2 linked regions of the Lepisosteus oculatus genome follow. The protein of the gene in region 1 interacts with the protein of each later gene in a biochemical or structural test. Links are inferred from orthologs where the notes say so. Each region holds a gene or a part of one and is shown in the gene's direction. Other genes may lie near its edges.

Region 1 (3,756 bases):
TTCCTGGGGTTTCCCTGTTCAGCGTTTTGAGCCCTCTCCTCAGATCAAGACTGCTTCTGAAAGGTTCACCTTCGTTCAGCTTACTAACACACTGAAAAAAGATGCGATCTCAAAAACCAAAATACAAGGATAAATTCCAAAAAGCACTTTTATAAAGCCTTAAGAATGCAGTGTACATCAGGGATGATTTGTTATTAATTGATAGCATACTACATTCATGTACTGTACATATACTCTTTCTTCCATTCATCCGGAAATATTCAAAAGATTATGCTTATTCGGAATCTATATCGGAACCCCGTGTTCACATGAAAACAACTTTTGATTGATGATTTGCACTCAGACATTTGGCTTCCAATAATAACGTTTGTGAGAGACATACTGTATATTGTTTGTATAACAATATCCCTACGATTCAGAGCTTTAATTCAAAATCTCGAACAGCTTTGAGACGCTGGATTCTCAATCAAGCACAAACGCATCTGCCACTTGTACTAGAATACAACAACTGCGAAGTTAATCAGATACATTCCTGATGTTTAAATCAGGGTGAATAAAACACTAAGCCCTCTATAACACAACTCTCATTATATTCAGCTACAACATTTTATAATGTTAACTTTCTTGTGTGTTTTTTTCTTTTTTCTCACATCCTATTGGCTTTGAGGACTTGTATCATCACTGCCTTCTTTTTAATATCGATTGCCGATTGGTCACAATTGTCATAAATCAAAAGTGAAGACTCCTCCCAAATCTAACAGCGCTGCTAGATTTAGAAGAGGAAAACTGGTGCGCCTAACTTCTGTCAGGAATAGAAGAGCTTCTTTGAAAATGACTAGATTCGGAGTTTTTCCCCCCGTTTTTCTTCTCTAACGAAGCCGCACTTGGAAGCAAAGTACTGAAATTCAAGCCATAGTGTCCAGGTGATTAGCGATTGGTCTGAATCTCGAAATAGAAGATTTAAACCTCTTGAAGGGCAGTAGTTTGTTCATTCTTGCACCGTAAAATTAGTTTTTTGATCAGAAAAGTAGTGGGCATGTGTTTTTCCACTCGATATTTCTTTTACATTTTAAAGTTAAATAGCAGAGTAAGAATTTAGAAAGTGAAGGAAGCAACAGTTCTTTATTCAAACCCTGAAATAAAGTACTTCTGGGGATAATTATCCTATCTCTGTATCAATCGCATTGTTTGATCTCAGTGCTTTAGTTTCAATGAAGTGGGGAAAATGTACTGTACATACAATGATATGTATATAATTTGTGTGCAAAAACACACAAAACCCTTTCCAGGAATGTTTTGTTCAGATCTTCACATTATTATTCATCGGAGAGAACAAAGAAGCATGTCAATTTAATAATACAAAACTGTCCTGAACCTGGGAAACAACTTTTCTTGAAAAGAAAATAATTTAGCAGCCACAGTGGATTATCGTCCTGGATTGCTTCGGGGGATGTCAGGGAACGTCTACATAGAAGGAATAAATCATTTCCGAATGGAATATAGAAATGATGCAGTAATATATAACCCTGATGACTAGGTGGTCTGCTTTGTCGACCCAGATTATCAATGGGGAAAATACAAATAGCATCCAGCACATGCTAAAGGTAAGTCAGCTACTCTTAAAATACTAGCAAATTATATATACTAGATCCTTTAGAAAACAATAACCTAAATGTTTCTATAGAAATATCAAATTTCTGTAGAAGGTCTGGCGTAGTTTTGTTTCGGTAAGGGACATCCAAGAAAGGAGACTGCTAATTTCCTACATCAAAGTAGAATTAAACAGAATGATTTGTTCAGATTAAGTTGAAATCCCATATTACATACAGAATAATATTCTTGTAGTATTCGGGGTATTTGACATTTTAAACAAAGTTCGAGATAAGAGTAGCATTCATTGTTCGAGCGTTCGATCTTTGTTTAACAATGTAACAACATGTACTGTATAAACGTAAGCAGTTGAGACTACCGTTTGGGTGGTAATTGGTGACAGATGTACAGATGATAATTTAACAGTTCAGATTCTGAGCTTAAAATATCAAAACCATTGCGGCTTTAGGTGGTGCTTCCGACTATTTAAAACATTTTCAATAGCAACTCCTTTCCTTTGAATCAATTTTACCAGCTGTCTAATAATTCTAAATAGTCCTCGTTTTTTGTTAGAAAATACCCCCTCACGCAGTCATAAACCAATTGCATTAGATCACAGCTCCAGAAAAGTTTATTGGAAAAACGTTTTAATATATCCTGTGAACTCCATATGGTTATGACACACTGAAGAGGTGGCATTTCTTTCCATTTTCTCGGTACTGGGTAACATTCAACATTTTCTTTTTTTAGATCGGTTTCGAAAAGACTGTTCAAAACCATTTTTTGACACTTAGACAGTTAACTGAATTTTCATGCTTTCGTTTTGTGGAAAACTGTGAATGCAAATAGATACGAGCACAATTCTCCAGTTATATGGACCACTAACAGTGTTGAGGCGCGTTTCGTTTCCCATCCTAAATCCATTAATATAAAGTTAAAATGAATGGTGAACTGTGGACGGTTGTGCTGTACATGTATTTCGAGTCTTTTCTTTGAAGTACTACATCCAGTGAGAAGTACGTTGCTTATTTAAGTAGGACCTAAACGTAATATTATATTAGATTTGCTAACACCTCGACCAACACACTTCTTTTGGGATATGATAGGACTATGATATGATAGAATTGGCTCTGCAATGCTGAGGAAAACGCATTAAGTATTTCACTACTGTGGTAGTGGATAGGTTAAGTCCCTCAGTACCAAAAGAAGTTTGTTATTCTGCTCCAGATTTCCAGTGTACCAATGGAAAAACTTGACACATGGATACTTTACTGGGCGGAGAAGACTTTTCAGCTTTTGCTAGCATGAGACTGTAAATTAAATGACAAATGTTAAGAGCTAGACAGCTCACTTCCATCATTTCCTTTACCCTTCAACATGCTTTTGGCCCAAACAGATCAAATTAAATATCTGTCCCTACAGGGCCTAAGTCAACACCAGAGCCTTGAGGATGAGGTTGGTACAGTTGGAAAATCAAAGATGAGTCATGGTAGGGTCATACTGGAACATCATAATTGATTAGTTTACTTGACAACTGTTAGATAATGCTTAAACCTTGTATGTTTATATTACATACTCTTTTTAACAATAGAACTCTAAAATGTGTCCAAACCACTAAAATACATTCCCAATTAGTATAATTATATAAAACATAAGCATAAATTCATCCCCAACTGCTTGTTCCTTAAAGGGGTAAATAATTGAAAAAACATACTGTAAAGTAATCTTATCTATTATATATATATTAGATCAGAATTGAGAGGAGGTCTGAAATTACTGTGAGCATGATAGTATAGTTTGTATTTATATGGTCTATTAAGGATAGATAAATACTTTTACATTTCTTATATTTTTAAAAACCTGGAAAGACTTTAAACACGCATCTTTAATAAAATGTCTTACTCAGAGTTTACTATTATTATGTACTGGTCTTATCTCTCTGCACTTTAATATTATGCAAAAGGTGAGGAAGTCCCACAAAATCTGGACATCCTACTATGGACTTGTTATATCCATCCATATTCTAACTGCTTCTTCCAATTCAGGGTCTCAGGGGAGCCGGAGCCCATACAGGCGAGCAGAGGGTACAAGGCAGGGTACACCCTGGACAGGACACCAGTCCATTGCAGGGCAGACAGACAATAACACATAAGAGCTCACACCAGC
Region 2 (3,756 bases), on another chromosome or scaffold:
ACACTTTTGTCCACTAGACACTTTTTTTACCCCCCATTCACGATTAGGACATTCTAGACATCTTCACTTTCAGACATTTAAATCTGCTCTGGCTCACCTGTAGAATGATGTTTCAAATGGTGTATCAAGATGACTATTTTACGACCGAATTGTTCCCTGTTTCACAAGATTTCTAGGTTTTAGTTCTGACCCCTGGCTCCGTCTCTGACTTTGTCTTCTGGATCTTGACTTGATTATTGTGGATTTACTGTTTTTTTACCCTGGCCTGACATCCTGAACCACATTTTGGGATACACTCCTGCTGGTACTTCTGAGTTCAGAGGATTTTCCCTAGGGTCTTCTGCATTGTAACAAAGCCAGAGGTCAGAGCCAAAAACTTAGAAATCTTGTGAAACAGGGAACAATGCAACTCCAGCTGAGTAAACCCCAATACTGAGCAAGGAGTGGTGTGTCAGGCTGGTTTAAGCAGGCAGGTGGAAGAAGGTGTGTCTGATTAGTTCATTGGAAACTGCACTGGAATGTGTAGGAGTTGATTAAGGGTGGTTAGTTCTCTTGTATGCTGTGATGGACTGGTGTCCTGTCCAGGGTGTGTCCTGCTTTGCACCCTGTGCTTGCTTGATTAGGCTCTGTCTCGCCATGACCATGTTTAAGGATAAAGTGACTCCTGAACATGGATGGGTGTTTGTAACACTGGAACAGAGTTAAAACAGAGGCAGCTGAAACACAAGATGGGGGAAGTAAATGGTGTTATGAAACTGCTAGGAATACCTTTGTAAATATGCCTGAGTCATTAATGAACCACATCAAAAAATCCTGCGAAGAAGCAGCTGCACAATTCATTTGTAGCTCGTGTGTTTGAAATGTGATTAAACATTTCTTACAGTCTGAATATATACTGTAGTTTGCTGTTTTAGCTTCAACTATGTCGGTATGCTAAGCAACAACAAAGTAAAATCTGATTCAGCTGGTTAGAAAACATTTGTGTGTTGTTCAGTCTTAAAAAGAGAAACAAATAATACAACAGGCCTACAAACAAACGTTTTAACTTGTCACCTTGAAATGTACATTTATGTAAGCATGTATTAATTCCAGCCTTTTAAGCAATCAAAAGTAGAAGATTTTAATGTACAAACATGTTAAAAACAGGCGTTAGACGGTATAGACATTCTACTTTTTTGTGTATATGTAAACACAACATCAACATCACGCTTGAAAATTAACTACAGATTGGGGCGATATCAAGAGGTGTACAGATTACAAATATACTTTCGTGGGCAGTGTTAATTCTAAAAATGCTTTCCTTAACAATACGCATTATTTTTTATCTTCGTTTTAACCTGTAAGATGATGAGGTCGAACTCCAGCGAATCACAGAAAGCTGCCTAGCCACAAAAAAATAAATCCCTGTGGCGCGAGGGGAGGGTTCCGTCTAAATGCCCACAACAAGTAATTATCCGTGATAGGTCTCGGTTTGCGCTACGGACAGGTCAGGACTGAGCCAGAACCTTAAGACGGATCGCTGTCCATCAGGCGTGGGATGAGAGCGGAGCCGGAGGCACGCTTTCCGTTCGCGTCCAGCAGATGGCGCTATGTGCGCTCTAGCGGGTATCGCAGAGTGGGCTCGGTGGTGAGATGCTGTGTCTGGGAGCGGGTTGGTGGAGACCGGAGCGGAGTACCAGCGATGCTGCCTCTCTGTAGCTGCTGCGCACCGCAGTGATCCGGTCTCGCTTTCGTACAGCTGTTTTGATCCGCCGCTCGGCGGATGCTCCTTCTTCCTGTCTCGGCCAGCATCCAGCAAATGGTCCATTTCTGCACCGCGGCAGGGTATGAGAGCACAATCCATCACTGATTGAATTTTTGGACAAGAAAGCGGGAGAGGAGTCGAGAAGAAGCGCTGTTCCAAAAAGGATAATATTTGGTAAGTGCAATGTCATTCCAGTGGCTTTTTTTCCCTTCTCCCCCATTAACCCTGCATGATGTACAAAACCACAAGATGCAATTGTCTTTGAAATGGAGAAAACGCAACAGCGCCAGCTTTCGCGCGTCTGCTTATCCGAAAGCATTTTTCTCCCCTTTTTGCGGGTTTTGAATTGACGTGCATTTTTACGGTTCAGCTGTCTCAGAAAACCGTGTTTGGTCGCACAAATAGCACAGGTAACATGTCTGAATGCTGACTGGAACAGAAGCCCGTTGATGTCGCTATGCCCTCCTAGTCGGGCTTCTTAGTGTAGCGGATAGCTTAATACTTTCCTGCCTAGTGACCTAAATTTCGAATCAATGGTGGATTTTATAAGCCAGTGCCTTACTGTGTAACACGAACGACTATTGTTCCTGAGCAAAGCGTCTTGGCTTCTAAAAATAGGAGCGTCGTTTGATAAAGGTGAATGGAAACGCGGTTTATTCGGGAACTATATAATTAATGACTGAGAAAGAAGCATCTCCCATCATTCTGAAATGCTTTTGCCTTTCCATCCAGTAAGGAGAAGCAGGCGTATTATAAAGACACTGCTTCTTGTTATCTCAAGATGGACATAGTTTTGCTTTTCTGTCGCTGTGTATTCAAAGACGCACAATACACAACAATTGCAGTATTAAACACATTGCCTGCATGAGGGTAACGCAATTATTGGCATTAAAAGTGTGGGTGAGATAATGTTGTAGATCTACCTCCCGGATGCCAAATGGACGTCCTTACTGCAATACAACCATATTACAATTATTATATAATAGAAAATGTTTTGTTGGTGTTGGTTGTATCGTTTTTAGAGCAAATACAAAATATCCGTCTATTAGTTGTTTTAGTTATTAATTATCAGACGATATGCTGTTGAGGTTAGCGGCAGAAATGCTACCGTTCCAGGATTTATAATATTCCTTGATTTGCATCTGGAGCAATATTTCGTTGTAACGGTTCCACGGTATTTTGACAGTTAGATAAAGAACTTCATAAAATATTTAAAATATTAATATTTCGTTCACCGTTCATTTCCCGTTTCGATTATTTTCAACAAATACTTTGAAGCGAAAATTTTCTTTGCATTTATTTTTGAAACACTTCATATAGAAATACAGTACATGGTCAATTCTCCCTGCAAAATGTTGCACGCCTCAAAGTGACGTTTTTCAAAGTGAAGTTTACAGTTTATTTAAAGGATGAATGAAATAACCAGTTTAAAGGGATTTTGACACCATAGCATGTATTAAGAATTTCAGTAAAAAAAAGTATTTGGAAATTTTGCGCTTTCTCTGAAAATACAGTATGTAGTTCTTATGGTTTCAATCTCTTGAAATGCGTTTCAATAGCGAAGTAATATGACCGCCCGTAATCTCTAATAAAACGAATTATTGCTGGAAACATTGAAACAGGCTGGATCATATACAGTATATTTGTATATTAAATAAAACAACAATTAGGCTTGACATTTTCAGTCCAAGGATAGATTTCTAGATATTGTTTTTTTAACTGATGGTATTGTACAGTACATTGGCTTCTTTACAGACGGGATTGCAAAAATAATAAAAAAAAAACACCTTTCACGATGTGGGGGACTTACAGATATCATCACCTAGAGAAATATGGGGAGATGCTCCTCTAAAAGAGTGGGTCTCAGGGCTGCTTAACCACAAGTGTCAGTGTTTGTGGACCTGAACCAGCCTTTAAAAAAGGTTGGTTTTTTAAGTCAGTTTTTACAAGGGCGTCTTGCCTGTATTAGTCGCGATGGCAGTGAATCTCTGGATGTGTGCTGATCGGCTGTA

What was found.
Region 2: the proteins of pdzd2 (region 1) and ctnnd2a form a complex in vitro, tested with the Homo sapiens proteins (2 studies listed by BioGRID and IntAct, with this or other methods). The link is inferred for Lepisosteus oculatus from reciprocal best matches to the Homo sapiens genes PDZD2 and CTNND2.

What each region holds. Positions count from the first base shown.
Region 1 is NC_090698.1:39,803,016-39,806,771, reverse strand, and holds the start of pdzd2 (PDZ domain-containing protein 2), read left to right. Parts: upstream 1-795; 5' UTR 796-1,604; intron 1,605-3,756.
Region 2 is NC_090701.1:1,140,350-1,144,105, reverse strand, and holds the start of ctnnd2a (catenin delta-2), read left to right. Parts: upstream 1-1,444; 5' UTR 1,445-1,918; intron 1,919-3,756. UniProt on the Homo sapiens protein: Has a critical role in neuronal development, particularly in the formation and/or maintenance of dendritic spines and synapses. Involved in the regulation of Wnt signaling.